5 linked regions of the Callithrix jacchus genome follow. The protein of the gene in region 1 interacts with the protein of each later gene in a biochemical or structural test. Links are inferred from orthologs where the notes say so. Each region holds a gene or a part of one and is shown in the gene's direction. Other genes may lie near its edges. The genes, in order: UBR5, UBE2E1, OTUD5, PAIP2 and PCK1.

What was found.
Region 2: the proteins of UBR5 (region 1) and UBE2E1 form a complex in vitro, tested with the Homo sapiens proteins (2 studies listed by BioGRID). The link is inferred for Callithrix jacchus from reciprocal best matches to the Homo sapiens genes UBR5 and UBE2E1.
Region 3: the proteins of UBR5 (region 1) and OTUD5 form a complex in vitro, tested with the Homo sapiens proteins (2 studies listed by BioGRID, with this or other methods). The link is inferred for Callithrix jacchus from reciprocal best matches to the Homo sapiens genes UBR5 and OTUD5.
Region 4: the proteins of UBR5 (region 1) and PAIP2 form a complex in vitro, tested with the Homo sapiens proteins (2 studies listed by BioGRID and IntAct, with this or other methods). The link is inferred for Callithrix jacchus from reciprocal best matches to the Homo sapiens genes UBR5 and PAIP2.
Region 5: the proteins of UBR5 (region 1) and PCK1 form a complex in vitro, tested with the Homo sapiens proteins (2 studies listed by BioGRID, with this or other methods). The link is inferred for Callithrix jacchus from reciprocal best matches to the Homo sapiens genes UBR5 and PCK1.

Annotation. Positions count from the first base shown.
Region 1 is NC_133517.1:94,652,891-94,658,613, forward strand, and holds part of UBR5 (E3 ubiquitin-protein ligase UBR5), read left to right. Parts: intron 1-995; coding exon 996-1,107; intron 1,108-1,658; coding exon 1,659-1,790; intron 1,791-2,473; coding exon 2,474-2,735; intron 2,736-3,315; coding exon 3,316-3,580; intron 3,581-3,752; coding exon 3,753-3,964; intron 3,965-5,723. UniProt on the Homo sapiens protein: E3 ubiquitin-protein ligase involved in different protein quality control pathways in the cytoplasm and nucleus. Mainly acts as a ubiquitin chain elongator that extends pre-ubiquitinated substrates.
Region 2 is NC_133518.1:62,151,220-62,157,660, forward strand, and holds the start of UBE2E1 (ubiquitin-conjugating enzyme E2 E1), read left to right. Parts: upstream 1-2,786; 5' UTR 2,787-2,893; intron 2,894-4,051; 5' UTR 4,052-4,084; coding exon 4,085-4,236; intron 4,237-6,441. UniProt on the Homo sapiens protein: Accepts ubiquitin from the E1 complex and catalyzes its covalent attachment to other proteins. Catalyzes the covalent attachment of ISG15 to other proteins. Mediates the selective degradation of short-lived and abnormal proteins.
Region 3 is NC_133524.1:49,515,605-49,521,878, reverse strand, and holds the start of OTUD5 (OTU domain-containing protein 5), read left to right. Parts: upstream 1-2,612; 5' UTR 2,613-3,427; coding exon 3,428-4,021; intron 4,022-6,274. UniProt on the Homo sapiens protein: Deubiquitinating enzyme that functions as a negative regulator of the innate immune system. Has peptidase activity towards 'Lys-48'- and 'Lys-63'-linked polyubiquitin chains. Can also cleave 'Lys-11'-linked ubiquitin chains (in vitro).
Region 4 is NC_133503.1:37,730,068-37,736,351, forward strand, and holds the start of PAIP2 (polyadenylate-binding protein-interacting protein 2), read left to right. Parts: upstream 1-2,451; 5' UTR 2,452-2,577; intron 2,578-6,284. UniProt on the Homo sapiens protein: Acts as a repressor in the regulation of translation initiation of poly(A)-containing mRNAs. Its inhibitory activity on translation is mediated via its action on PABPC1.
Region 5 is NC_133506.1:53,146,156-53,152,416, forward strand, and holds the start of PCK1 (phosphoenolpyruvate carboxykinase, cytosolic [GTP]), read left to right. Parts: upstream 1-2,487; 5' UTR 2,488-2,581; intron 2,582-2,749; 5' UTR 2,750-2,790; coding exon 2,791-3,014; intron 3,015-3,454; coding exon 3,455-3,636; intron 3,637-4,079; coding exon 4,080-4,283; intron 4,284-4,421; coding exon 4,422-4,609; intron 4,610-4,982; coding exon 4,983-5,145; intron 5,146-5,546; coding exon 5,547-5,771; intron 5,772-5,857; coding exon 5,858-5,989; intron 5,990-6,261. UniProt on the Homo sapiens protein: Cytosolic phosphoenolpyruvate carboxykinase that catalyzes the reversible decarboxylation and phosphorylation of oxaloacetate (OAA) and acts as the rate-limiting enzyme in gluconeogenesis.

The DNA of each region.
Region 1 (5,723 bases):
CTTTGTTAACAGCAAAGATATTCTTTTTTTTTTTTTAATGACAGAGTCTCACTCTGTCACCCAGGTTAGAATGCAGTGGCGTGATCTTGGCTCACTGCAACCTCCACCTCCTGGATCCAAGTGATTGTCCTGCCTCAGCCTCCTGAGTAGCTGGGATTACAGGTGTGCATCACCACACCTGGCTGATTTTTGTATTTTTAGTAGAGTTGGGGTTTCACCATTTGGTTAGGCTGGTCTTGAACTCCTGACCTCATGATCTGCCTCCCAAAGCTGTTGGGATTACAAGTGTGAGCCATCACACCCAGCCAAGATACTCTTTTTTTTTTTTTTTGAGACGGAGTTTCGCTCTTGTTACCCAGGCTGGAGTGCAATGGCGCGATCTCGGCTCACCGCAACCTCCGCCCCCTGGGTTCAGGCAATTCTCCTGCCTCAGCCTCCTGAGTAGCTGGGATTACAGGCACGCACCACCGTGCCCAGCTAATTTTTTTGTAATTTTTAGTAGAGACGGGGTTTCACCATGTTGACCAGGATGGTCTCGATCTCTTGACCTCGTGATCCACCCACCTTGGCCTCCCAAAGTGCTGGGATTACAGGCTTGCAACGCTGCGCCCGGCCCCAAGATACTCTTAATGTTAGAAAAATTTAGTAGTTATGAGCAATGCATTTGAAAGAGGATACTACCTATTTATGAAGTAAATTTTATCATGGCCACAATATATAAAAATTTAACTCTCCTCCCTGTCTCCAGTATAATTTTTAAAGTTCTAATTTGAGTGTTCTGTATATGTTCAGTAATAAACTTTGGGACCTGTGGATATGATTTTCGACAGCAAATTGTCACATGAAGATTTTCAAAACTGCTTGGTATATGATTTAGAATTTTTTATAGTTAGGAATCTTTGCATTTTAGTTAACTAGTTTCTTTGGGGGAACACTGGTAGAGATACAGGTTTATTATGTACTTTGATTGTCTACAAATAAGATTCTGGATTTAGGTTGAGGTGGTGGAGGGTGTGGCCGGAGAAGAGGATCATCATGATGAACAGGAAGAACATGGGGAAGAAAATGCCGAGGCAGAGGGACAGCACGATGAGCATGATGAAGACGGTAGGCAGGTTGTTTGAGAAGTTACTCTGTATGAGTACATCAGGTACTTTGAAAACAGAGAAACCTCTTTTGAATGTATAGTGAAATGGCCCACTTAGTTTCTGCCAAGCGTTTCTGTAGCATCTGTTAAAAAATTTTAGGAGCTATATAAATACATATATAAAATGGTTTCCCTTTTTCCTTTTGTTTAAGTCACTTTCTTAAAAGACTTTTTTAAAACAATCGTGGTCGCATTATGAAACATTTGGAAATAAGAGAAAAGGAAAATAAATCACCCTTAATTACACCTAGGTGCAATGATTTGTGTATTTACTTTCAGTTTTCCCCTGCACTGCCCTGTTGTGATAGTCTGTTGACTACCATAATTTCCCTAGTCATTCTTCGAAGGTTGAGTAGTTACTTATTTTTATTCTCTCTCACACCATTCCCCTTCTCCCCAACTCCCACCTCCATGCCGTCTTAGTTCCCACCCTTAGGATATTCTGGCATAACAGACCCTGTTTTAAATTATGGTAGCTTGTGCTTTTTTCTTATTTAAATATATTTTTTAGGGAGTGATATGGAGCTGGACTTGTTAGCAGCAGCTGAAACAGAAAGTGATAGTGAAAGTAACCATAGCAACCAAGATAATGCTAGTGGGCGCAGAAGTGTTGTCACTGCAGCCACCGCTGGTTCAGAAGCAGGTATGTCACCTTATCCCGACAACTTTCTCATGTTAAGGCTGTGTGAGTATTCAGCACGGACTGGTTCATACTTTGTGTGGTATATACAAGGGTAGCTAAGCATTTTTATAACTTCATCCTTGTTCTCTGGATATTAGTAAAGAAAGTATTATTTTAATAATTCTTACCCCAGCTTTTCTGGCTATTAAATGATGAATGGATTTTCAAGGTCATTTAAAGGATTTTGATTTCTTTTCTTTTTGTTTTTTTGAATTGGGTCTCACTCTGTCACTTAGGCTAGATATTCCAGTGGTGCAGTCAGAGCTCTTTGCAGCCTTGAACTCCTCCTGAGTTCCTACCTCAGCCTCCTGAGTAGTTGGCACTATAGGTGCAAGCCACCACATCGGACTAATTTTTTTTTTAAAGAGATGTGATCTTGCTGTGTTGCCCAGGGTGGTCTTGAGCTCCTGAGCTCCGGTAGTCTTCCTGCCTCAGCCTCCTCAGTTGTTGGGATTATAGGCATGTGCCACCACACTCAGCCAAAAGTTATTTTCTAATAAAAACTATTTTAGTGGTGAGTTTTGTGGATTATTGAATACAATCTGGCATTCTGTTTAATATGTATGTTTTCTTGAATGAGGGGGGTACATTGTAATTCTAATTAACAAAAACAATGTTTTTGGTTTTAAAAATAAAAATTTTAGGAGCAAGCAGTGTTCCTGCCTTCTTTTCTGAAGATGATTCTCAGTCAAATGACTCAAGTGATTCTGATAGCAGTAGTAGTCAGAGTGATGACATAGAACAGGAGACCTTTATGCTCGATGAACCATTAGAAAGAACCACAAATAGCTCCCATGCCAATGGTGCTGCCCAAGCTCCCCGTTCAATGCAGTGGGCTGTCCGCAACACCCAGCATCAGCGAGCAGCGAGTACAGCCCCTTCCAGTACATCTACACCAGCAGGCAAGTCTGAAACCTTGGTATTCCTAAGAATACTTAAATACATTTTTTAAATTATGCATGCTCATCTAGGGAACAAATTAGTTTTATGATAGCTCCTCACTGTTTTATTGAGTTTCAAATATAAAAATGAGGCGCATATGATAATAGCAGGGTTTCCCAGTCTTTGCATTATTGCAACTTTGGGCTGGATAACTGTGGGAGGCTCTCTTGTGCATTGTGGGATGTTAAGCGGCATTCTTAGCCTATACCCACTAGATGCCAGTGAAACCCATCTCAGCCTTCTTCCTCTCCCCTTGGCTCCCACAGTTGTGATAACCAAAAATGTCTGCAGTTACTGCCAAATGTATCCCTTTTGGCAGGGTAGGGTGGTGGTGTGGGGATCAGATTTCCCCTGGTTGAGAACTTTATATTAATTCTTATCCTCTCATTACCCCTCTCCCCAAAATAGTGTCATTTAGGCAAAGTTTTTGACTCTGCTACCACAGTTGACCATTTAGATTTACATAAGTATGTACAATGCCAGAGAAGTACAATTAGCACTTGACATTAGCTCACTGTGATTGTCCTTTTTTCCTTATAGCAAGTTCAGCGGGTTTGATTTATATTGATCCTTCAAACTTACGCCGGAGTGGTACCATCAGTACAAGTGCTGCAGCTGCAGCAGCTGCTTTGGAGGCTAGCAACGCCAGCAGCTACCTAACATCTGCAAGCAGTTTAGCCAGGGCTTACAGCATTGTCATTAGACAAATCTCGGACTTGATGGGCCTTATTCCTAAGTATAATCACCTAGTATACTCTCAGATTCCAGCAGCTGTGAAACTGACTTACCAAGATGCAGTGAACTTACAGGTATGAACCCACTGTGAAGTTTCTCATTCCAATATATTTTTTTGGCTGTCAATTCTGAGAATTCCAGTATTAGGGGAATTAAATGTTAAACATTTAAATGTTGACATACTGCTGCTATATCGAATTTAGTTCTATTTGGATAGTTTTAACTATTTTAGTTTGGTCTTCATAGAACTATGTAGAAGAAAAGCTTATTCCCACTTGGAACTGGATGGTCAGTATTATGGATTCTACTGAAGCTCAATTACGTTATGGTTCTGCATTAGCATCTGCTGGTGATCCTGGGCACCCAAATCATCCTCTTCACGCTTCTCAGAATTCAGCGAGAAGAGAGAGGATGACTGCGCGAGAAGAAGCTAGCTTACGAACGCTTGAAGGCAGACGGTATGAAATTCTTCGTATATATGGAATGTCCCCAACTTAAAATGGATCCCCACCTTACAATCTTTTTTGACTTTATAATGGGGTTTTTGGGAGTATTAAATACATTTAGACTTATGACAAGTTTATCAGGACGTAACCACATCTTCACTCGAGGAGTACCTATACTTACATATTTAGATAGAACCTTTATATCCTGGAAGGTTAAAGCTTTTTAATTGCTATTATCTAAGATCTCATCTTACTGTGAGAAAGAAATGACTTGCTTGCATTACTTAAATTGTTGAAGCATAATAGGCTGGTTATCATGCAAGCTATTTTTTCCCCCCAAGAAGAGTTTCACTCTTGTCCCACAGGCTGGAGTGCATTGGCGCGATCTCGGCTCACTGCAACCTCTGCCTCCTGGGTTCAAGCAATTCTCTTGCCTCAGCCTCCCAAGTAGCTGGGACTACAGGCGTGTGCCACCATGCCTGGCTAGTTTTTGTATTTTCAGTAGAGATGAGGTTTCACCATGTTGACCAGGCTAGTCTCAAACTCCTGACCTCAGGTGATCCACCCGTCTCGGCCTAGGTGTGAGTCATCATGCCTGGCTCTCCAAGCTATTTTTAAGAATCCATTTACATCATAGGAATCTGTTACTAAAGACTTCATTTATGAAGTTGTTGGTCTATGTCTTTGTCTTATCTCCAAGACTTCCCCCCACCTTAGAAAGTTAATTTGACTATGATTGGATGTAGATGTACTTTGTACTTCCCCCACCTTAGAAAGTTAATTTGATTATGATTGGATGTAGATGTACTTTGTACTGAGGAGGAGGAAAGTGTGTGTGATTACCAGTGCTGCTCTTTTGTTTCTCAATTCACATTTCTTTTTTTCTGCCTCCCCATCTTGTTGAGTTATAATTAAAATATATATCTGTGTATTTGTTATGTTCTTTTTATTCAGTTATAAAGTGATCATTTTCAGGAGTAGGTATCAGCGCAAACACTGAACATCAGAGCAACAACAGTAGTATAGTAAAAGTGCTTCATACCTACAGTCAAAATCCAAGGATTTGGTTCTAGCTCTGCCTCAGGATAAATACTTTTGTTAATTCTGGGTGGATCATACAGTGAGGAAAGAAAAGGGTCTAGGACATTACTTGGAAAATAAGACAGTGATAGGCATCTCCGGCAGAGGTGGTAGTTACTAAAGTAGGGCGGTGATGACCAGAAGGAGGAGTGATAAGCACTGAAATCATCAACAGAATTTAGGGCCTTATTGAAGGATTAGGAGGGGGCATCGTTTATATTTAGACTTTGATTCTGAATAACTAATAGGAAAATTAAAGAAAAACCTAGGGTAGCGTAATGGACAAACTTGCTTTTGAACATGTGAGAACTGGGCAAAAAAAATTGGTAGAAATGTCAAGTATGCAGAATTGAGTGCTTGGCAAAGGTAACTGTACTAGAGATAGAGATTTGAGAGCAGCTCAAGTAGAGATTTTAGCAGCTTTCCTGTCCTAGAAAGCCTGCTCCACGAAGAGACAAAAGCCTTATCTTGGTTAGGCTGTAGTTCTTACCCCAGAGAACACAGAATTCTGGTGACAGGTCTTGGTTGGTGGCAGTGTTCTCGCTCCTCTCTCTCGGTCAGCTTTAATGTAATGATTCACATATTACATACAATTTGCCCATTTAAAGTGTCTAGTTCCATAGTTTTTCACAATGAATTTTGGAATGTTTTAATCCCGTCTATGGGAAACCTGTTAGCAGTTATTCTTCAT
Region 2 (6,441 bases), on another chromosome or scaffold:
CTCCCAAAGTGCTGGGATTACAGGCAAGAGGCACTGAGCCCAACCGACTTACCGGCTTTCAATTGCCTTCATTTCTTTATCTGCAACATGAAAAGTGTGAACTAAAAGATATCTTAAGCTCCTTCTAGGCATAAAATCCTATGATTCCTTGACTGTATGTTTCTCTTGGAAGGTTTCTTATATTTTCATCAATTCTAAATCATAAAAACCCCATATCCTCTTTTCTGCCCTGGTGACAAAAAAACAAAAAGTAAAAGCATCAAAAAGTCCCCAAACCCATGCATGTCCTAAGAAAATTCCTAAGAAATAAGACCAGAGTGGAATTATTAATAACTTACTTTGCGTAACAGTTGATAAATCACCTTAATTACATATACTCATTTGACCTCGCCAGTCAGTAGAGCACAGGTATTCCTGCTCTTTATAGATGAGGAAACTGACGCTCGGGGAGGTTAATTTAGCTCTTTAGGCCTTATAGTTAATAAAAAGGAGAGCTAGAAAGTTGTATATGAATTCTTTTTCCTAAGATGCTATATACAGGCTTTAAAAATAATTTGGCATAAAGATTAGTCTTGAGAGTACTGGATTCTTTTCTAAACATTTTGAAGTTTTTATTCCCTCTAATTAGGTCATGCCAAAACCATAACACATTACCCCAAGCTAGTGGATATTAGAGATTAGAGGGAAAGGTACACAAAAGAGGGCAAGAAGCCTTCTAGACAGGTGGTTGGGAAATTACTTTTCCTTATAGCAGGACCTGTTAGATTTCATGATTTCTTTCGTCAGTAACACAACACAAAATATCAAGTTCTATTTTAAAAGAATTATTATTATAGCTAGTGTTCAATTTATGCAAACCAATATTAAAGAAAAAATTCGTCTACTGTCCTGATCACTCCAGCAAATCAAACCTTTTATTTTCCTGTGATCTCTGCTAGTTCTCATCTTTATACACATGATTTTTTTTTTACTGATTGTATTTATAATGTAGACATATATTTTTAAGTATCAGAAATCCATAATTTTCATAAGAGGACACTTCAATTTTAATAACTATTTTTAGACTATTTTCCTCATTCTGATTTTATTTCATCTGCTTATTGTTTTCTCCTGAATTCACATCTTTTCATCAGAACAAAAAGAATACAACCTGGTTTTCAGAAGTTTAAAAAAAATTTTCAAATATACGTCAGAGAATGTCATCATTTTTATATACTCTACCAGGGACTCCTGAAACCAAACACTTAAGAAAGGTTATGTCTGGAGAATTTTTCAAAATCTATATGCATTTCAATGGTGGAGAAATAGTTGTCTGGAATCAGGAGGCTGAAATTATGACCCAGAAGATTTCTTCCAACTTTTGAACTTCTATGACAACTCCTGGTAGAGACAGGTTTCCTGGTAGGGATTGAGCAAGAAGCATGCACAATTACATTATGAGTCTTGATAAAGCTGGAGTTTCAGGTTGATGGTTAGGAGTTCGGCTGGGTCGTGGGATGCTTGTTTTCCTGGTTACTGGATATGCCATGGGCTTTATATCTTGGGTTGTCCTGTGGTAACTGAAGCCACTGTTGCGGTGGAAAATGATGGCAGTTTGAATGAGATAATTTAGAGTGACCTGTGGAAATCTGAGGCTGTGTCCTTAACGTACAAGACCTTGTATATGTGGCACTGTTGTATGGCACATATCTCTTTAGTTCCCTTCAACTGAAATGACAAATAGGTGAGAAACTAAATCGTAATTTGATGGCCTAATATTAAAAAAAATTAATTGGACAAAAATGCTACATAAGGAACAATTCAGAAGAATTGCTGATTATTTCAAAACTATTATCTGAATAGTATTTATATGTAGCTAAAGAAAGCACTGCGATCCCAGAACTTTCCATCCAATTTCCAAAAACCAAACCTTATATATAATGTAAAATGACACCCAAAATTCTAAATCCAGTCTAATTCAGTAGTATATAGCTTATTCCCAGTGATTTCTCACATTTGCAAGCCCGTTGCACGTTGGTTTCATGTGTCACCAAAACCTTTGTATTACTCTTATAAAACCACATCACTTTGTATAAAAAGTGACTGGAAGAATTTAATATTGTAAAACTGCACGTGCCTCGCGTGACCTGAGCAGAAAACTCCTGGTTTGGGATTTTCTCACAGGCGTGCCTAAACTGACCTCTACTCCTAGCAGGTAAATTGCTAGAAGAAGCAAGTGTCAGCCCAAAGAAAACCCCTGTTGTGTGCTTTTTTTTTTCTCTTTAAACTGATCGCTTTTTAGGTGGAGTTCCCGCTGCATTCTCTAGACCAAAGTCCTTGCTTGCCACCAGATTACCATCTTTTTCACCAATTTGCCACCTCCCTACCCTTCTCCTTTCCAAAAGCCCTCACTGGAAAGAACTTTCTCTCTTGACCCCCCTATTCCATCTAGTTCCAAACGCTCCCAGAGCCTCCCACCTCCGTCGGCTTCCCCTCTCCCGCCTAGAATCCAGGTTCCCAAACCACTTAAGAGGAAATTCACACCCCTCGCCCCCTTCCCGGGCGTCCGGAGGAGACGCAGGGGTGGGGGTGCGGGGGGAGCAGGGTTTTCTGGGGTCTCCTGAGTCTTTCTCGCGCACCCTCAGGAGGTGTTGCAGGGGGAGAGGAGCGCGGGTGGGTGGGACCGGGCCGGGTGGGGGAGGGGTGAGGGCGAGGAGGAGGAGGAGGCGGCGGCGGCGGAGGAGTGGTGTGTGTGCGAGCGTGTGTGGCTGGGGGAAGCCATTGCCTGTTTAATAGTTGCTGTTGCTGCACTTCCGCTTCTCTCCCAGCGAGAGAGAGACACGAGTGGCCAGGCCCAGCCGCAGCCGCAGCAGCAGCCGCCGCGGCGGCACGGAGGAGCCAGACACAAAGAGAGGTACGGGGATCCCCCCAGCGGCCCGCCGCCCCCCGGCCGCGCCGCCGGCCTCGGGGACACCCCTCGCCGCCGTCCCCGACCCGCACCGCCCCGGCCGCCGGGGCGCCGGACACGGGGCCGGGGGAGGGGTGGTGGCGGAGAGGGGCTGGGGAGCCCCAGGGGTCCCGGGCCCGCCCGCGGGGGATGGGCAGGGACCCCGGGCCGCGTGGGTTGCGGGGCCGCCCGCGTCGGGGCTGGGGGTCATTGTGGCTCGAACTGTCAGCGCTGCCCCAGGAGCCCCCCCACTGGCCGCCGAGGGGGCCGGGAGCGGGGGTGGGGGGGAGTTGGGGGAGCCCTGTTTTCCCCAGGGGCGCGGGCTCCTGGGGATTTACCCCTCCGGGGCGGAAGGGCTCATTGTTATTTCTTCGCTGCGGAGGCCGAGCCCCCCCCACCCCACGCCGCAGCCCCTATCCCCCTCCACGAGTGGCGAACGGGCGTGTGCTCCGGACCCCCGCCCGGCTGCGCAGCCCTGAGCCGGGCGGCCCAGAGGCAGGCCGCCCGGGAGGGGCGTCGGGGCGCGGCGCGGGGGGGGGGGGGCTCGGGCCTCGTCGCCCCTGCCCCCCGCCGGCCTCTCCCTTCCCCCACCCGGGCACCCGTTCCCCGCCTCCGTCCCCCTGTTTCGGCTTCCTCTCTTACTCCTTCCCGCCCCTCCTCTCTTCCCGACCTCGCCAAACTCCGTTCGTGGCCCCACAGTCTCACCCGGGCCACCGGTCCCCCACGACCCCCGGAAAGCGTACAAAAACAGCCCCGAGGCCGGCCGGCCGCCGGGACCTTCCCTCCCTGCCCCGCTGCGGCGCCCCGCGCCCCCACCCTGCCCTTCTTCGCCTCCTGGTTACTCCCTCCCTGCCCTGCGGAGAGCCCCGGGGGGTGAGGGAGGGGCTGCTCTCCGAGCTCCAGACCGTTTTCCCACCGCGTTCCCTACTTGGGGCCAAAAATAAACAAACAAGCCGCGTCCGATTTGCAAAAGCCTTAATGGGCCTGCAGACTTTGAAAAGCGAGTGGAGGGCGGTGGGCGGCCGCGTGCGCCCCTGGTCAATGCCCTCCTGACAGCACCCGAGTTCCTTATTTACACTGGCTGCATGGTTTGTGTGTTTCTGTTTTGTTTCCCTCCCCCTGCAGGGGCTGTTTGCGGGGTGGGGTGGGGGGTTCGATATGTCGGATGACGATTCGAGGGCCAGCACCAGCTCCTCCTCATCTTCATCTTCCAACCAGCAAACCGAGAAAGAAACAAACACCCCCAAGAAGAAGGAGAGTAAAGTCAGCATGAGCAAAAACTCCAAACTCCTCTCCACCAGCGCCAAGAGGTACCGTACTCTTTTTTCCACAGGCTTCCTATTTTCCGAACTGCCTCTTGCTGCATTTGGTCTGCCTCCCAACGAGGATAGCTTAAACGCTCCTCACGGTTTGTGTGTTCTTAAAAATGAAAGAAGGGCCTTGGAAACCCTAATTATTTTCTCTATTGCTGCTTCTGTTTTTTAAAATCATTGCCCACATGCAGCTGTTGCGGCTTGGCTCTCGCTTTTCTCGCCGAAGTTTGTAACAATCCTCATCTACTTTTATTAGCGAGCCCCAAATCTGATTTCAGATTCCTTGTCCCACTTAATGGTTAATCTGTGACCTTCCCCAAGGCCATCATCCTGTTTCTTAATTACTAATAACCTGCTCAGACAACTGCATCGAAATGGATTCTATGACCATTTTACCTTCTTTTCACCTGTTGCATGGATGATCTTTTTGGAATAGAGCTTTCTCCACAAATTGTAAAAGGAATAAGAAACTCATATGAGCAGGTACAAAATTTCGTAGGTGAAGACAGATATTCTCTGATGGAATTTAAAGAGATTTTTCTGAGAGTTGAGACGAATGAATCAGTAAGTGATGTAAAATGGTTATTGTAGGTTATTTTTGTGATTCTCTTTGAGAACTTCAGTTTACCAAATTTCAGGGAGACTTTTTTTTCATGCTATTTGCTGTCCTCATGCTGTAAAAATGCTACTTTGCCTTATTTTTTTCCAATTTAAGCTGTGTCTCTTTTTCTTTATTCTTTTCCTCTTACAGCTCTTGGAGGTAGCTACTTTTTACACCTGCCATTCTTCAGTAATATCCTCTGATCCCCATGACACTTAAAATAATCTTTAGTAGATTCCTAGGAACTCCGAGACACCTTTTTAGAAATCCTTCTGCTCTCAGAGTTAGACAGTTAAAAAGGTGGCAAAACGGGAACATAGTAGGGAGTCCGAATGGTGGGTTAGGTAGAGAAACCCTTAAAAATTTTTAATGTAAAGTGGAACATGAGACTTTAGATCTGTCCACTGAGTAGTGAGCCAGGAAGTCAGGGTTTGAGGGTTTGTTCTGTCATTCTGCCTGACTTGTAATTTGAAAATTTGGCAGTGTTTTGGTGACCTAACCATGGGCTGATGGAGTGACTTTTAAAAAATAGTGTGGAGGTCTTAGGTGCCTCTGCAAGATTGTTCTCATTTTTATAGGTTTGGTTTGATCGTAAATCTTCCCAGGAGGCCTAACTGACCCTCACTGATTAGCCCTGTTTGGTTCTCCTGGAACCTGGCATCCACCCTGCCCACTTGGGATGGGCCTTTTCGCAGCACTGCCCTCCACCTCAAGCCTCTAGGCTCCCTGATCCTCATTTAGCTTTTGGCCTCATGTGCTCACGCCAGGATACTTGCTTTGGGCAATTTGCATCTTTATATTTTGCTAGATATCCCTGGTGTACATGAATATATATTTGGGGGTAAAGACACAGGTATCAAATAGAAAATATTCTGCTTTTGTTATGAGTGAATTGTTTTTTTCACTAGACATACTTTGTCCATTTATTTTAAACAAGTTAAAAATTTGTTTGAAAGTGCTGGGAAAGAGATGGTAGATTTTAAAAAATGAAAGGTGGGAGGCTACAAATAGTAATTTTACATGTAAATGAACATCAAGGCTTTCGTTTTGTTTTGTTTTTGCAGCGAATTTAGCTCCCTGATACCTTGCTGAAGAGTAGTAGCCATCAGTGTTAAAGCAGACCTAAGGTTGATAGCAAAAGGTAAAAAAAACCTGAGAGGGACAGTGTATCCAGGAAAGAGAAAGGGGAAAATTGATGTTAGTGGGATCCTATAGAACCTGTTCCGTGAAATATATTGATTTGGAAGGTAGGTGTTGCCCATAAAATTGGAAGGGGCACATTTACCAGGAGAAGGAGTGAAAAAGAAGCCTGAATTGGCAGACTCACAGCCTAACTGCATGCTGGAAAGTGGTTTCTAAACCGTGGGTAGGGGAAAGCCCCCATTGAAAGTGGCCTGAACAAGAATGACTGACTCTCTGGATGTAGGTATGAGTTCCTCCTGCAGATCTCTTGCCAGGTTTTGGAAATGCACATGCTGACTGTCAAGATGAAGTTGATAAAGCTTTTTGGTATGAACACTTCTTAGGTATTAACTGCCTCTTTAGTGGATATTTTATAGTGGGAGTTGGGTGGGCAAGGAGGTCTGAAGTCAGTATGTATT
Region 3 (6,274 bases), on another chromosome or scaffold:
GAAGGCAGACAATTAAGTCATTACAACATGGTGTGGCAGAACTAAGATCCCTGTGTTATGGAAGCATGCAGATGGCAGGAGAACCTAACCTGGCCAACACACAAGGAATGAGTTGGAGTTAGCCAGGCAGCAAATGAAAGGATGCAATGTTCTAGACAGAGAGAACAGCATGTGCAATGACCTGGAGGTTAGAGAGTGAGCTCAGGCCTTCAGGGAACTGAAAGTAGTTCAGTCCAGCTAGGGAGGAGAGTGCGAGGCTGTGAGGAGAGGAAGGATGGAGAGGTAGGCCAGATAACAAAAGGCTTTGGAAGCTATGACGCAAATTTTGAACTTCATCCTAAGGACAGTGGGGACCTCTAAAGGCTCTTAAACAGAAAAGTCATAATGAAGTTTGTTTCAGAAGGATCATTCTGTTTGTGAAGAGTGGATATAAACAGTCCTGGAAGGAAGAAAAGTAGGGAGGAGGCTTTCATAGTAGTCCAGGTGGTAGGTGACAGTGGCTTGGACCAGAGTAGTGGCAGTAGAATTGGAGAATCTAGAGATTTGGGAGGTAGAATTGGCAGGATTTGGGATTAACAGGCATGTGGGAATTGAGGAAGAGGGAGCAGTCAAGGTTGACCCCCAGGTTATGGCTTGAGCAGTGGCTGGATGGGAGTACTATTCCCTGGTAAAGGGAACATCAAAGCTTTTAGCACTCAGTGCTAGGTACATAGTAAGTACTTGGTGAAAGGTAGCCATGATTACTATCATGAGTTCAGTTTTAGATGTGTAATGAGTAGAATATATGGGGCTGGAGTGAGATGATCATGAGAAGATTCAATATGATAATGTGCATAGGTATTTGGCACAGAGCCCTGAACACAACAGGCTCGGTAAACATGAAAGTCCCCTCCTCCCATTAAGTCTCATGAGCAGAAAACACTACTAGAGCCCATTTATTACTTAATGCCTTTCAGGGAAGAACTTCAACTAGGGTTAATATCTGAAGGGAATCAAAGCCCTATTCAAAACAGCTTTCCCATGGTCTCTTTCAGTCGACCTGTTGTATGGTTTGTCTCCTAAGACTGGAAGTGAACTCTTAATACCTTCTTGGTTCATCAGCTCATCTGAACCCCATAACCATTCCCTGAGATAGTATGGGCAGGCATTATCATTCCCGTTTTAAATATGGGTAATCCCAAAAGCAACACAATGAGTTCCTCAAGGTCTTAGTTGGTGATGGTCCATCTGTGCCCGGAACTGAGATCTTTCTGGCTCCAAAGCCTGGGGTCCTTCCACTGTACCACCATGCAGACTACTTTATTAAACACGTTCTATGTGGTGGGCACAGCACCAGGCCCTTTACAAGCATTAATCTCTGATCCTCAGATTGGAATTATCATTGCCAATTTATTATAGAGTGGAAATTGAGGATGGGTGCTCGCTTCCCAGCACATATACTAAAATTAGAACGATAGAGAAGATTAGCATGGCACCATTTGAAAGGATGACACGCGAATTTGTGAAGCGTTCCATTAAAAAAGTAAACAACAGGCCGGTGCGGTGGCTCACGCCTGTAATCCCAGCACTTTGGGAGGCCAAGGCAGGCGGATCAGGAGGTCAGGAGATCGAGACCATTCTGGCCAACATGGTGAAACTCCGTCTCTACTAAAATACAAAAAATTAGTCAGGTGTGGTGGTGTGCACCTGTAGTCTAAGCTACTCGGGAGGCTGAGGCAGGGGGATCCCTTGAACCCGGGAGGCGGAGGTTGCAGTGAGCGGAGATCGCACCACTGCACTCCAGCCTGGCGACAGAGAAAGACTCCGACTCAAAAAAAAAAAAAAGTAAACAACAACAATTGAGGACGGAGTGGATGCTAAATGACTTGCCAAAGATCACTCAGACAAGAAGGGCAGAGCTAGGATTAGTGTGTAGCTCTCCAGCCACTCAATAGCAGGGATTTTTGCCAACCCCATTGCGAGACGCTGACTGGTGACAGAGGTGGTTCATAAACCTCGATCGACCCAGGCAAACTTAGTTTTAGAAAAAGGCTAGGCTTGGCCAGGCACGGTGACTCATGCCTGTAATCCCAGCACTCTGGGAAGCTGAGGCGGGAGGATCCTTTGAGCCCAGGAGCTGTAGATCAGCCTGGCAACGTAGCGAGACTTTGTCCCTACAAAAAAAGTGAAAAAATAAATTAGCCGGGCGTGGTGGTGTGCACCTGTGGTCCCAGCTATTCGGGAGGCTGAGGCGGGAGAATCGCTTGAACCTGGGAGTTGGAGTCTACAGTGAGCTATGATCGCGCCACTGCATTCCAGCCTGGGCGACAGAGTGAGACCCTCGTCTCAATTAGGAAACAATTAAAAATAAAAAGGCTGGGCCGCTCCTGCGCACTAGCCATAGGGGCGGGGAGGTCACCGCGAGGGCGAGAGTGCTGTGTCGCCAGAGAAGGCGTGTCTGTTTCCCAAACAACCACTGTCCCCACGGTGCCTGTCGGTCCCAAGGTTGGTCGGTATGACGGGAGTGACGGCGTCTCTTAACCAATCACCGCAGAACTTAAGCTGTTGCTGGGGTGAAGCGGTGTCCACCTCCCCCGGAAGGGTATTTGCAGGGGGGTAATATCGGAAGTGACGCTCGAGAGGAATGCTGTGCTCTGGACTGTTGATGTTTTCCTGTCAGTCCGGCTGACAGCGTTCAAGTTGGAAGCCTGGAGGGGAGGCGTTTTTCCTTTCGTAGGTGAAACAGGCCACGCTGTCCGTCCACAGTTACGACGCCTGCAAGTGAGAGCTTCGGGGAGAAAAGTAAAGAGCAAGACGGGACCGACAGCAAGAAAGGCTGGGAACGAGGGTGTCGACTTTGACTGAAATTTGAGACGGAGGGCACCGGAGGGCAAGCACTCGCCTCTGATTGGCCCGTGGGCGTCGTCGGGGACCCACGCAGCTGCTCAATTGGTTGGTGTTAGCAATTGTTGTGGCAGCGGCGACGATTTTGCCCACGTACTTCGAGCGAGGGGCGGGGCTGTGCCCTGGCACGCGTGCGCAGCGCCCCGGGGCCCCACCCGGTAGTGCAAGAACCTGCGAGGGGGCGGAGTGAAGAGGTGCTTGTTTTGGTTCTGTCTCCTTTGAAGCAGAAGGCCAGAACGAGCGTAGCAATAAACTTGCTGGACTTGGAGAGAAGGCTACGACAAATTCGCCGCACTGCCTTCATCTTGGACTTCACATCCGGGTTCTCCCGGCGTGACCCGCGCGCCGTCGCCGCCACTGTCGCCGCCGCCACTGCCACCGCCGCCGCCGCCGCCGCCGCGGGTTCTCGGACCGGTGCCGCGATCTCTTTATCCGGGTCTCGCCGTTCCCGTCGTGCTTCGCGCACTACACTAGCCCCCTCATCCGGGTTCTCTCCCGGCGTGCTCTGCGCCGGGTTTGCTGGGGGGCACTCGGCGGTGAAGCCATGACTATACTCCCCAAAAAGAAGCCGCCGCCTCCCGACGCCGACCCTGCCAACGAGCCGCCGCCGCCCGGGCCGCTGCCCCCGGCGCCGCGGCGCGGCGGGGGTGTGGGCGTGGGCGGCGGCGGCACGGGCGTGGGCGGCGGCGATCGCGACCGTGACTCCGGCGTGGTGGGGGCCCGTCCTCGAGCTTCGCCACCGCCTCAAGGCCCGCTACCAGGACCACCGGGCGCTCTTCACCGCTGGGCACTGGCCGTGCCGCCTGGTGCAGTGGCGGGCCCTCGGCCACAACAGGCTTCTCCACCTCCTTGCGGGGGCCCAGGTGGGCCCGGCGGCGGGCCCGGTGACGCGCTGGGCGCAGCGGCGGCGGGTGTGGGTGCCGCGGGCGTGGTGGTGGGTGTGGGTGGTGCCGTAGGCGTGGGCGGCTGCTGCTCTGGGCCTGGCCACAGCAAGCGGCGACGTCAAGCTCCCGGGGTTGGCGCAGTTGGCGGGGGTAGTCCCGAGCGTGAGGAGGTCGGCGCAGGCTACAACAGTGAGGACGAGTATGAGGCTGCTGCAGCACGCATCGAGGCTATGGATCCTGCCACTGTCGAGCAGGTAAGAGCTGTGGGGTGATGGGTGGGCGGCTACGGTAGATGGGACCCCCACACTGTGAAGGTACCCGAAGGCTGTTTGAGATCTCCCCAAGGGATCTAGGCCTTTTCACTGGGCCTGACAGTCTTCTCTCGTGGTAGAGGTGTGAGACACCTTCTTTCCCCCCGTCTAGGGATTTGGGGCTAGAGGCCTACGGTGAAGTGGCAGACTTCCAAAGAGGACCTCGTAGAGATCCGAGGCCTCTTTTAGGGTCTGTAGTCGTCATTCCAGTTCCTGGGACCTCATCTTGTAGGGCCAATAGGTGGGAATTCTCCAAGAGACACAGGTAGGATCGAGCCCCTCTTGAACAGGAGTCTCAGGTTTCCCAAGAGACCTAGGTCTGTGTTCAGTGGCTTAAGAGCTCTTTTTCTCTGGGATAGAAGTTTGAGATTAGCCCTCTAGGGAAATCAAATAAAGTAGAGACCCCAGAGATGGGGTATGAACATCCCCAAGGAACCTAAGCCCCTTCAAGAGTCTGAGACACTCTGCATATAGGACAACCGTCTCCGCTTTGCTGGGTAATAGAACACAGGACCACTGAATAGCCAGACCTGAGACCTCAAGGGTCCTAACTCTGTCTTCAGGGGCCTGAGAATTCCTCTTCTAGAATCAAGGTCCTGATAAACACATAACGCCCTCTTTAAGGAGAGGGGTCTTCTAAGCTTTTTCCAGAGATATAAAACTTTTTGCAGGAAGATGATTCCCTTGCCCTTGGGGTCAGGGGCCAAAACCAACACCCAAGGACCGGCAGCTTTACTTGAGTACATGAGACTCATCCTCTTTCTGAGTGACAAAGGTCTTCATTTTCTATCAGTGGCCTGCAACCTACCTCTTTGGAGACAAGGGCCAGAACCTCTCTTCAGAATATTAAGCTCCCTGTAAGAAGAGATGGGCCCTCAAAGCCCCCACCTCCCACCAAGGGCCTGAAGCTTCTTCAGGAGAATGAGACTCAGAGGGTTGGATCCTAGGGCCTAAGATCTACCTTCTTACAGACTGAGGTGTTTTTTTTTTTTTTTTTTTTGAGACAGGGTTTCACCATATTGGTCAGGCTGGTCACGAATTCCTGACCTCAGGTGATCCACCCGCCTCAGCCTCCCAAAGTGCTGGGATTACAGGCGTGAGCCACTGCATCTGGCCCTGGACTGAGGTTTTTAGGGACTGAGTCTGAGGCCTCTTCAGGGGCCTGGTGCCCCGCTGCAGAGGTGAAGTCTTTAGGAGACCCTTCTTGAGACTGGTATCTGAGTGGTTTTGGGGGTCTCAGACTCCCCACTCCACAAGGATATGTGACCCTTTTACCTCAGTTATAAGGGACTGAAACATACCTTGGGGATACAATATCCCATCTTCTCTCTGTGACAGTAGTTTGAGGCCCTTCCCCCTTGGGCCTAAGCTTCTTGTCAGAGACACACGACCCATGTCTTGAGAACTTGAGCCTGAGACGACTACTCAGGGGACATGGGCAACATAGAATCCCAGAGATGATGTCTGGGGCCTCCCTATGGATCTCTGCCTACCTTTAAGGGCCTGAGAGCCACTCTACCAAGGACTCTTGAGTTTTCCTTCAGGGACAGGAGATTCGTACATACCCTGGTGACTTCTGTTTCTAGAGGTAAGGTCTGAGCTTCCTTCTCAAGAAACTTGAGATGTACCCCTGAGAAACAGGAGGACTCCTCCCCCAGACCTGACCCCTGAGACCCTTTCCTTGGGGCATGGATAAAGGATCCCTGTGGAACAGGGTCCTGAGTCTACCCCCAGGGTTTGAATCCTACCTCAGGTGTGCGAAGGCCTGTTCCTCTCCTTAGGAGCTGATTTCTAAAACTGCCCTGAGGGTACTGTCACCTCACCTCAGACAACGTACAGACACCCCAGTCATAGGGGTCATTTAGGGACATAAGATTTCCTCCCTCGGGGACTTTGGGCCTCAGATTCCAACTCCCCTTGGGGATATGAATAGGGTAGGATTCTGAGGAAAAGAGTCTGGGGCCGAGCTTTTGCTCTGGGACAAGAGATCCTTTGCCTTAGGGACAGGGGCCTGGCTCCCACTTGGGCATGAGGCTCTCCTCCTACCACACTAGGCAATCCTTTCTGTCCAGGGAGAGAAATGTAAGGTCATCCTCTCCCATTGGACAGATGGACCTGGATGCTCTTCAGGGTCATATGAACCCCATATTCTGAACCCCCTTGTGGCCAGGGCCAAGAGGGTCCTCCTACTTTCTG
Region 4 (6,284 bases), on another chromosome or scaffold:
TGGCCAGGTTGGTCTTGAACTCCCGACCTCAGGTGATCCATCTGCCTCGGCCTCCCAAAGTGCTGGGATTATAGGTGTGAGCCACCTCACCCAGCCCAATTATATTAATTTTAAAGGATTTATCTTAGAGTTTTCGGCCCTGTCCTGACTTTGAAGTTTTCTTGTTTTTTGTTTTTGAGACAGGGTCTCACTCTGTCACCCAGGTTGAAGTGCCGTGGTGCAATCAGGGCTCACTGCAGCCTCCACCCCGCCAGGCTCAGGTGATCCCTCCATCTCACCCTCTAGAGTAAAGGGGACTACAGGTGCATGGCATCACACCCAGCTAATTTTTGTGGGTTGTTTTTTTTTTTTGTTTTTTTTTTTTTTGTAGAGAAGTTTTGCCATATTGCCCATACTAGTCTCAAACCTGGACTCCAATAATCCACCCACCATGGTTTCCCAAAGTGCTGGGATAACATTGGTAGGCCACCACTCCTGGCCTCGTTGAATTGTCAATTATAGCCTTAGAAAGTTGTAATTTTCATACCATTTAAGAACTTTGTAAAGTCAAATATATGGTAGGGGATATGAAAATTGGTGAAAAGAGGCCAGGCGCAGTGGCTCACACCAGCCAGTGGGATTCCAGCACTTTGGGAGGCCGAGGCAGGCGGATCACGAGGTCAAAAGATCGAGACCATCCTGGCCAACATGTTGAAACCCCGTCTCTACTAAAAATACAAAAATTAGCCAGGTGTGGTGGCATGCGCCTGTGGTCCCAGCTACTCGGAAGGCTGAGGCAGGAGAATCGTTTGAACCCAGGAGGCAGAGGTTGCAGTAAGCCAAGGTTGCACCACTGCACTCCAGCCTGGCAACAGAGCAAGACTCTGTCTCAAAAAGAAAAAAGATGAGTGAAAAGAGTAGATGCTTTTAAGGAAGGGGTAGTCTGTTGAGTGTGATAGACGAGTCAATAAACATCTGACTTCAGCAGGATTTGTATACTTGGGTTGAAAGCACCTGGTATTAGGTACAGGATTAATAACCTTTCTATGAACAATGATATCATGCTTCATATATTGCAACATTTATGAGGAATTTCTTATAAGGACCTGATCCAAAAGGGTATACACAAACAGCAGCAGCAATCCTACCTTTGATTAGGACAAAATGCTTTTCAAGTTTCACTCCTTGCCCGTGCCTGTCAAAAACAGGACCAATTTCAGTTTGCTTAACTTTGACAGGGTGGTTAAATCAGAAGTAGCAGCTTCTCACTGGCTATTTGGCTTTTGAGATTTAAATGGGAGAGTTTGTTTTCCTACATAATAGGAAAATTTAAAACATCACAGAGCAATTAGATCCCAGCTACTTTCTTAATAACTATCAACTCTATTAGCTATGTTGACTGACTTTTTTTTGAGACGGAGTCTCGCTGTTGTTACCCCGACTGGAGTGCACTGGCACGATCTCGGCTCACTGCAACCTCCGCCTCCTGGGTTCAAGCAATTTTCCTGCCTCATCCTCCCGAGTAGCTGAAACTACAGGCGTGCACCACCATGCACAGCTAATTTTTATATTTTTAGTAGAGACGGGATTTCACCTTGTTGACCAGGATGATCTCGATCTCTTGACCTCGTGATCCACCCGCCTCGGCCTCCCAAAGTGCTGGGATTACAGGCTTGAGCCTCCGCGCCCGGCCTAGAAATATATCTTGAGGCTTGTCAACGATGACAAGAAGGAAGCATAGGTAAGAATAACGGGCCAGTGCACCCAGGATCGTGGACTAGGAAATTCATGAACCCGGAAGTCACACCCTTCTATCCTGTCTGGACAGGGTATTTCCTCCTTTAGCCACCAAGAAGCTTGCACAGGTTGTCTGGGAACCATGCATTTGTATTTTGCGTTTGCGTCCAGCTTCAAAAAGTGTGTTTTTGTGCCTGCGGGGACTTGCATATCATTTAGTATGCCTCTGCGATTTTCCTTAGTTTATTATGTTTCTGTGTCAGGATCTTGATGTGACTCGGTGCATGTAGCTGTTAATGTGACATTGTGTATCATTCTTGGGGTACGGGTGTCTGTGTTATGTCGTTATCGACATGTTACTTTTTAGGGTGTGTGTGAGACGTCTAAGTGTTCACACCTGTGTGTGTATATTGTCAGGGTGCTCCTCAGTTCCCAGCTCCCTCCCTCATTGCATCCAATCATTCTCGAAAGAGGGGCGGATGTAGGGATAGTGGCGCGCTCCGACTCCTACCTCCCAGAGAGAACGCTCGACAGCGTTCCTGGTACACTCCGAAGCCGTCCTCAGGGGCGCGCTGGAAAGGCCGTTGCGCGTGCACTTGTGTGCAGCCTTGGAGACTAAGTCTTCGGGGTCGCGCGTTCTCGCGCGCGCCCTCTAGTGGCTTCGGAGGGCAGAGCTGACAGAACAAGAGGGCGGGGCTGGCGGCGACGGAAGTGAAGTCACTTCCGCGCTGGGGTGTTTGTTTGGACTGGAGAAGGGAGGCGGCGGGCTAAGCGCACGTCGAGCGGGGAGCGGCGCTGCCTGTGGAGATCCGCGGAGGCCGACAGGATTCATTGGCTGCCATCCCCGCTGCTGTGCACAGGGTGAGGGATCCCCTCGGGCGGAGTGGCGACAAGGGTGCGGCGGTCAAGGGACAGCACCTTAGCGACGGCAGAGGGGCCTAAAGGGTTTCCTTGGTGGTTGGCCGCCGAGTCCCTTGCGGCCTCCGTTGTTCGTTGTCTCTTTGCACTAAGTCTGAGGGATGGGCTTGGGCAGATTTCCTCTCCCTCTTCTCTGAGACATGGCCGTAGCTTTTTTTTTCATTGTCATTATTTATGATTTGGATCTCGCAGCTCTCTATCCGGGTCCTCGGTGGCGCGAGGGTTGCCGGGATAGCACTTTCTCCTGTGCCCCATTCCTCTGGTCCTTTCTCCCTCCGCCTGGTACCCTTTCCCCTGCCCCCCACCACCGCCTCGGTAACAAAGCTCATTGTTTCTACCCACTTTACGCCTGCGCGTCGCCACGCGCAGCCCCTACTTGCTGCGCTTGCGCGCCTCAGCCGAGGCTGGGGTTTGGGGGGAGAGGGGCGGAGGGACTGGCGGGATGTTGGCGAGCTGGGGGAAACGCTGCAACCGTCGACAGGCCTTATCAGAAGATCGCCTTTCTCCCGTTTCTTCGCCATCCCTACCCCTTATTTTTGGTTGTATTGTAGCTCATGATCCGGGAAAGAGAACCTTTGGGGTACTGGAACCCTTACCTTAGGAGGGTGTTGAGTTAGATGAACTTTAAGATTCTCTTACCTTTTGATAATTTTCTGTGCTTACTCTCTTCCTTCCCCCACCACCGCCACCAAAAATAAATAAGGCTTTTGGTGAGCTTAGGTCTGCAAAACATTTGTTGCAGCAGCCAGCAGTGATATTTTTTAGTGAATCCTAAAAGTGGTCTTATCTGCTTCCTTTTGTTTCTCTTTTCTCTGGTTTGGCACCCATATCAAACTCTTAAAAAGAATTTGGCTTCCAGTTTGCCTTGGAAGGTGTAGCAGCTGACAGCCTTTGACGTTCATTTCAACAGAAAGCAGAGGCTCTTTTTGGGTGTGCTGGCTAATGTTGGAACGTGGTGGCTCTGTTTTTTGACAGATTTCATTTGAGCAGTTAGATCAGGTGTTGGTGTCGCTTTTGGAAATTTCAAAAGCGTAGATTAGGTTTGCAATAAGTAAAAGTTCTTTATGAGAATTTTTAATGAGACTTCACCATTTGTTTTTGTGATTCTGTTTCCAGTTGGTGAAAGACAGGATATTTGGGGGAAATTATACTGTTTATACTACCTGTCAATTGTGAACTTGAAGAAAACTTTCTCACAAAAAAGTATCACAGGATAGGTAACTTGACTAGCTGTAGAGCCCATTTGTGTTTCTTTAAGAGATGGAGGTTAGGGAATGGAGATTTCCTATGATGATTCAAGGCTGTGCATGTTGCTCCTTGGAACTCAAATTGAGGTAGTTTCTACTGTCTTTGGGTCAGAATGAGTTTATAGCAGGCTTTTCCTTAAATAATAAGCACTCTGTACCTTAGTCAGGTTTATCCCTTTATGAGTAGAGTGTGATGCTCCAGTTTTAGTGAAAAAATTTAAATTTATTAAATGAACACTTAGCACAGCAATTTGGTTGATATTGTGGGAGATTAAAGAAGTTGGACGGTAAGACCTCTGCCTCCTTGTAGTCTAATAACCGTTTGTGCTTTTAAAACATTTTCTTACGGCAGGGCATGGTGGATCACGAGGTCAAGAGATCGAGACCATCCTGGTCAACAAGGTGAAACCCCGTCTCTACTAAAAATACAAAAATTAGCTGGGCATGGTGGTGCGTACCTGTAGTCCCAGCCACTCGGGAGGCTGAGGCAAGAGAATTGCTTGAACCCAGAAGGTGGAGGTTGCAGTGAGCCGAGATCGCGCCATTGCACTCCAGTCTGGGTGACAACAGCGAAACTCCGTCTCAAAAACAAAACAAACAAACAAAAAAAAATTTTCTTGTAATTTACATCCTGTCGTCATTCATTATCATGACAACATGTGAAATAGGCAGAGCAAGTTTTATCTTGCCCACTAGGACTTAAGAAAATAGAAGCTTGAGACATTATTTTTATGTAGCAGATATTTATATAACATTTTAGTGATGCCAGGCATTGTTCTAATTGCTTTTTACAAATATTCTTTGTGTAGTTTGCAGGGGGAAAAAAGAAACAAGCAAATACTAACTAATTTGATCCACAACATGACTAGGAGGTAGGCCCTACTATAAAACAAAGAGAACACATGAGAGATGTGAAGTAACTTGCCCAACGTCACATAGCTAGTGATAGCCGGAATTCAAATCCAGATAGACCAGAGATTGTGTGCTCTTAACCATTATACAGTGCTGTGTGATTTAGTGACAGGTCTAGGGTACTTTAAGGTGGTCGAGTAGCATAGCTGTGATTTGAACCGAAGTCTTCTGACTGTGGTCTAAGATTAAAGTTGTTCAAGTCATTGCCTTTGTGATCTAGACCACCTGTTGCACAGGTACATGAACAGTTTGTATTCAGTGTAGGTTGTGGTTCAGTTCCCCTTTTTCTTCGTTGTTTTTTTTTTTTCATTGGTTAGAGTGGAGCTGTCCAATAATGTAGGTACTGTTTGGTTATGAACACTTGAGATGTGGCTAGTGTAAATAAAGAACTAAATATTAATTTAAATAGCTCTATGTATCCAATGGCTACCATAAGTAAGGATGACCCATCCTTGCTCTCACCTAGTTGCCCTTGTTACACTACAGTTGAGATTAGGATAGACTTTGGGATTTTCTTGTGACATTGTTTCAGCTCTGAAGATTTAAGATCTGTTATTTTTACCTTGTCCCTTGGTCTGGAGACCTTTAACTGCCCTAAATGTTTAATCACCAGATAGATAATGCTAATTATTATGCTCCAGTTTCTCTACCAAGGTACTGTTTTTTTTTTTTGAGACGGAGTTTTGCTCTTATTACCCAGGCTGGAGTGCAATGGCACGATCTCGGCTCACCGCAACCTCCACTTCCTGAGTTCAAACAGTTCTCCTGCCTCAGCCTCCCAAGTAGCTGGGACTACAGGCATGCACCACCATGCCCAGCTAATTTTTTTTTGTGTTTTTAGTAGAGACGGGGTTTCACCATGTTGACCAGGATAGTCTCGATCTCTTGACCTCATGATCCACCCGCCTCGGCCTCCCAAAGTGCTGGGATTACAGGCTTGAGCCACCGTGCCCAGCCCCCAAGGTACTATTAATAATGTACCTTGTACAGATGAGGAAACCGTGACTCAGAGAGGTTAAATAACTTGCCGTGGTCACACAGCTAGTAAAGCAGCCTGGTTCCAGAGCCCACGTTTTTTAATCATGACATTATTGCGTCAAATAGTAAAAAAAAAAAATCGGTGCTTTTCACAGACTTCAGAGTAGAAAACAGACCAATTGAAAAAATTATCGATCCTCCCTAACTGCCAGAGGAAGTATGCTTAAACATATATATGCGTAATTCGATAACAAAAATATATATGCAAATAAGGATCACAGTGGTTCAAAGCAGAGCCCAAGGGAATGAGAAAAGATGGTGCCTATGGAGGAGAATTAATGAAAGAAGCAGAAGAGAACTATATTTGAATTTTAATGAGAATTCTTAAGGGATGAAGCCAGTGGAGAAAGATTGTAAAACATAAAATATTTTTTTATTTTAAAAATCTTTAGACAATGTAAAAGGACACTGCTGGAAACCAGTATGTCTAAGAGGCATTTCAGGAGGGGAAAA
Region 5 (6,261 bases), on another chromosome or scaffold:
CCTAAGAAAATCTGAGCCTAAGGAGCCCCCCAAAACCTAGGAGGTCTTCAAGGTGTCTGCCCCAGAAACAACTAACACAACTCACAGGCAGCATGAATCACCTCCACACCCCACCCACCGAGTACACACTGCAAAGTCCACTCGGGGGGGGCGGTTCACTGGGGGTCCTCAGAGATCCCACCAGCAGGGTGGGTATTCTACTGCTTCTTTAGGACCCTGTTGAAATAAACAGAGAGTACTTAGTTCTGAGGCTTACTTACAAATAAGCTGATGGTCAGATGGGGAAGACCCATGCCTCCGGCCAGCCTCTTGAAACTGTAGTCAATGAGGCCCCGTTGGGGCAGGGAGTCTCTAAGGACAGGGAAAGATGGGGGCCCTAGGTCATCATCCACCAAAGCCTAAGGCAACTGCACCCAGACTTTTGCCTGTGTGTCCTAAAAACCCTCTACTTTATCATGCTTTTTCTTCCAGAGAACTCTGTCCTTTGAGGCAAGTCTGTAACCCAATGTTTGCTTTTTAACATTTTGACAAGGGACAGTTGCAGGGGAATCATACCATCCTTCCACCCCATTAATGTGAGTAATGAAAGGATCAGATGAAGGTCGGAGGTAACTCACTGACACGATGTTTTAATTGAACTAGTGTTTCTCTCCCAGAAGACTCAGAACATAAGCACCTTGAATGAATGGGTAGCATTTCAAACTCCAAATACGTTCTGTTTTCTCATTTTTGTTTTCAATCTACGTGCTCTTCCAGGGACTCAAACCTATTACAGTTTTATCAGCAAAATGGGACTTTCTGCCAGTTTGGTGGGATGAGCCTCACTGGGCGTGATGAGTGTGTCACGGAGCTGTGGTTGGGAGTCGGAATGGCTAATTCACTGATGTCAGTCAGATGCTAAGGAAGTGCCGTCAGCTACCGAGTATCATGTAGTGCTGGGTTTAGACACAATACAAACTTACGTATGGATGACAGCACCTCTAATGATGAATGCCAGTGACCTAACGGGGAAATAACTTCAAATGAAACAAAAAGCACCTCATGTCGTATTTACCCTGAAAGACCCAACTGGTTGAATAAAATCTGAATAAAGGAAGCATAGCAACGGGTGGATAATTTTGGTGGGACTTGGTGATGTGTCCATGCCCAACACAGTGAGACCAATGCCCCCCTGGGGGGTCCTCTAAGTGCCTTTGGTGGGAGGCTGCCATTCACAGTGCCCTGCATGTGCCATGGTGGCTCCTCCTATGCCCATGCCTGGGAGTTTCTCAGGGATCACCCCCACACCCCATCGGAGAGATGGGCCAAGTCTTCACCTGACCTCATCTTAGGTAGGGAGGCTCCCATGGAAGTGTGGGCTGGCTGTGGGGAGTCGGGGCCCAGCCTTTTTCTTTTGACTTTTTACCCCATTTTCTCTGAACTCCAGCAAGCAGCTTCTGTAGTTCATTAAATTGGACTGAAGTTCTGATGGCTTGCAAAGCAAATTCTTTATAACGGTTATAAAGGTTTCATTGCTTAAGCATATAATCTAGTAAAACTGCCAAGTCCCCTCCACTCCCCAAACTGTAAGACTTGCCAGGGAAGTGAACAGTGTCTAGTGGACTCCAGGAGTAACTGCACTTAGCCCAGAACTCCAGGGAAGGTTCCAGAAAGGTGGTGGTACCTCCTGGGGCGGGGGGAACGTGGTACTCCAGGGCCCAACCTGCTTATGTTCAAATCCTCACTCTGCACTTACAAGCCAGCTGGGAATAGCTACACAATCTCTGCCTCAGTTTCCCTATCTGTACAGAGGTTGTTTGTAGTAATGATGCCAAGCTCTTAGAACAGTGCTCAGCATGTGCGCATTCTGTGCTTACTCTGTGGCAAGCACTGTAGATAGAAAAATGAACAAAACAGGGAGAAATCCCTGCCCTCATGGGGTTTACATCTGGGGCGGTGGGGGCACACAGCAGAGACGCAATGCAGTGATGAGCCCCCGTTAGGTTAGGTGTTTTCAATCTTTGCCAATAAGCCACATATACACCCAAGTCAGGGTGCGTCCTTCCCATGAACTTTGACTGTGAACTTTCACATGGGGTGACTTCGTGTAGCTATGGTGTTTTGCCAACCAGCAGCTCTTGGCACACAAAATGTGTCCAGTAGGTGCCCTGACCAGCCTTGTCCTCGACTCCACCTGCCTACTAAGAAAAGGATGGTGTGTTTTTCATCAGCAGTAAAATGGGTCAAAGTTTAGTCCATTGGAAGTTGTATCAAAACTCACTATGGTTGGTTGAGGGCCCAAGGTCTGCCGGCATTCATTAACAACTATCTGTTCAATGATTATCTCCCTGGGGTGTGCTGCAGTGAGTTGGCCCAAAGCATAACTGACCCTGGCCATGATCCAGAGACCTGCTCCCTGACATCAGTGGCGAGCCTCCCTGGGTGTAGCCAAGGGGCAGGGCTGTTCTCCTCCTTGGTATTTAAAGCCGGAAGATTCTGCCACCAAGCACGGCCTTCCCACGGGGAACACAAACCCGCTGGCGGGAAGAACCCGGAAAGAAACCTGTGGATCTCCCTTTGAGATTGTCCAAAGAGAAGAAAGGTAAGTAGAGCTTTGCATTTACATTTCTAAAAATTACAAAGATGGGCTCATTTATTTCCTGAGAGCAATAATTATTTGGCAATGCTTGGCCCCGGTGAAAGGCCATCGAATGTGTTTGAAGGTGTCTGTTGTTGCTTTTGTCCAGGACACCTGCGTTTTCTATTTCAGGTGACTTTGACATTGGTGCCCCTTAGCAGCACTCTGCAGAAATGCCTCCTCAGCTGCAAAACAGCCTGGACATCGCGGCCAAAGTTGTCCAGGGCACCCTGGACAGCCTGCCCCAGGCAGTGAGGGAGTTTATCGAAAACAATGCTGAGCTGTGTCAGCCTGATCGCATCCACATCTGTGATGGCTCCGAGGAGGAGAACGCACGGCTTCTGGGCCACATGGAGGAGCAGGGCACCCTCAGGCGGCTGAAGAAGTACGACAACTGGTAAGCTTGGCCCCCGACACCTGCCCAGCCTCCCGCAGGCAGGGCTCCCCTGCATCTCCTGGGAGTTAGTGGAGAAAGGTGAATAAAGGCCTCTCGGGAGTTTCAGACTCTTGAAAAGATGAAGGCAGGCGATGGTCAGAACCATACAGACTTGAATTTTGTGACATTGGTAGAGCAGCCCAGACCTTAAATGAGGTGGTGTGCGCAAAAGCTCTGCCAACTAGATTCCTGATAAAAGCAAAAGACAGCCCCTCTCCTACAGACCAGCTACTACTTGAGTTCATGTCCACCTGGCCATGTCTTAGCTGGTCTGTGTGTTCACATCGATGCAGCATTGTCAGCCTGCTCAGCACCCTGCTATGCATGGAAAGCAGCGGTACTGAAGGAGATGGTCCATTGCCAGTGGTGCTGGGCTGAAAGGAAGCCTGTGATTTTTGCAGCTGGTTAGCTCTCACTGACCCCAGGGATGTGGCCAGGATCGAAAGCAAGACAGTTATCATCACCCGAGAGCAAAGAGACACAGTGCCCATCCCCAAAACTGGCCTCAGCCAGCTCGGCCGCTGGATGTCAGAGGAGGATTTTGAGAAAGCATTCAATGCCAGGTTCCCGGGGTGCATGAAAGGTGAGCGGAACATTTATTTGATTGCGCAAAATAGCAGAGAACCTTTTCTTATTTCATCTCTCCTAACGGTAAATCAAACCACCTAACGGAAGCTCCCACCACCTCAGATGTCTTTGAGTTCCATACATGAAATTGGCAATGTATTGAAAACGTACATCCCTGTTCTGCTTTTACAGACTGTTTTATGTGAACATGAAAACTATTTCCATGCATGTGGGTTTAAAACAGCTTGGTGGGACCCAATTGCACATTTATGAAAATTCTTTAATTTCAGCAGGCTGTTCACTTTCCAGTGGCCTCTTCTAACCCAGGGGGGCTGGTGACAAGCAGGGCGTGGTGGTGTTGGTGGAGATCGGGCAAATGGGTCTACCTTGGAAAACAATGCTGGTTGTGTTTGTAGTCCAAAGTCATTTGTCACCAGTTCCCACCCTCACACCCTGTAGGTCGCACCATGTACGTCATCCCATTCAGCATGGGGCCGCTGGGCTCGCCTCTGTCAAAGATCGGCATTGAGCTGACAGATTCGCCCTACGTGGTGGCCAGCATGCGGATCATGACACGGATGGGCACGCCTGTCCTGGAAGCACTGGGCAATGGGGAGTTTGTTAAATGCCTCCATTCTGTGGGGTGCCCTCTGCCTTTAAAAAGTAAGTGTATTATTTCAAAATCGAAAGTCAAAATAAAAAAGAAAGCTGAACACCCCACTCCACCCCACCCCACCCCCCCACTTGGGACCCCCAAGCAGGGCCCTGGAGCACTGATGTGGGAGGGGTCCTTGTTCACAGAGCCTTTGGTCAATAACTGGGCCTGCAACCCGGAGCTGACGCTCATTGCGCACCTGCCTGATCGCAGAGAGATCATTTCCTTTGGAAGTGGGTACGGCGGGAACTCACTGCTCGGGAAGAAGTGCTTTGCTCTCAGGATGGCCAGCCGGCTAGCCAAAGAGGAAGGCTGGCTGGCAGAGCACATGCTGGTGAGTCTGCAGGAAGCCCTGATGTACACATGAGAGGCTTGGGAGGTGGGCAGGGGGGTGGGTGGGTGGCAGAAACAAACGGCATCACAGTTCCCGTCCAGCAAGACCCAGCACACCTCTCTGAGCATGCAGGTTCCCGGATAGATCAGGAAACCCCACCACTAAAGATCAGTGCACCTGTATAAGTCACTTTTGAAGGGCCCCAAACACCAGGGCACTATAGAGATCCTTTGGGCTTCATGATTTTGGAAATGTTTGTTTGCACTGATACCTGAAGAAATAGAGCTTGAGGGCCTGCATTCCCACCTCTGGGAAGTACCAACCTCAAGGAGAAGCAAACAAAGATCTTAATAAAGAATCTTGTCCCCAACAGATCCTGGGTATAACCAACCCCGAGGGCAAGAAGAAGTACCTGGCGGCTGCATTTCCCAGTGCCTGCGGGAAGACCAACCTGGCCATGATGAACCCCAGCCTCCCCGGGTGGAAGGTTGAGTGCGTCGGGGACGATATCGCCTGGATGAAGTTTGACACGCAAGGTGACTCAGTTGGACCCAAGTGAATTCTTGGCCTTCAAAACATGCCACAGTCTCCTCAATCCAGTGCTTGGATTTTTAAATTTCATTAGTTCAGAGCTGGCAAAGCCTTAGTATTCTGTATTCTGTAAGAATTCTTCAATTTAATATTCAAGCTGGATTGAAACAGGGCCATATGTTGCTGTTTGTTTACGTACATAAATTTGTTTAGATGGTATTGGTGGAAAATTGTGGAGGAAGCAAGAGTTGTAAATGTCTCAAAGTTGCATATGATGCTTAGATGAAAAGAGATAAATGTATATTCTAGGGAGGGAACAAAGAGCTGGGAAGCTGGCATAGAAATTAGTCCGGCGGGATTGAAGAATCTGCCGTTCAACACTGCTTCTCTGTTCGAAACTCTCCAGGTAATTTAAGGGCTATCAACCCAGAAAATGGCTTTTTCGGTGTCGCTCCTGGGACCTCTGTGAAGACCAACCCCAATGCCATCAAGACCATCCAGAAGAACACCATCTTCACCAATGTGGCCGAGACCAGTGACGGGGGCGTTTACTGGGAAGGTATTGATGAGGAGCTAGCTCCAGGTGTCACCATCACTTCCTGGAAGAATAAGGAGTGGAGCCCACAGGATGGTGAGCCCCTACCAGAGGCCTCGGTGTGCTGGGCAGCCGGGATTGCCTGTTTGAGCCAGGCACTCATGGGCCTTTCTGTCTTATAGGGGAACCTTGTGCCCACCCCAACTCGAGGTTCTGCACCCCTGCCAGCCAGTGCCCCATCATCGATGCTGCCTGGGAGTCTCCAGAAGGGGTTCCCATTGAAGGCATCATCTTTGGAGGCCGCAGACCTGCTGGTGAGGCTCTCCTTCATTTAAGCTGGGAACACGGGTGTGCTGGGTACAGAAGGGTGTCTGTGAAATCTCTCCTTCTCCATGACCTTGTCAGAGGGTGCTCAGGGGCTTCCTTTCTTGAGCTTCCTTTCCAAAAAGCCAGAATAATTGGCAAGCTCAAATGCAGAACCAACCCTTCTGGACAACTAGAACCTTTCTGAATCCTTGATCTATCATAGCTTGATCAAATTTTACTTTTGACTTTGTGGCCTCAGTCCTGTAACTCTAAGCAGTTT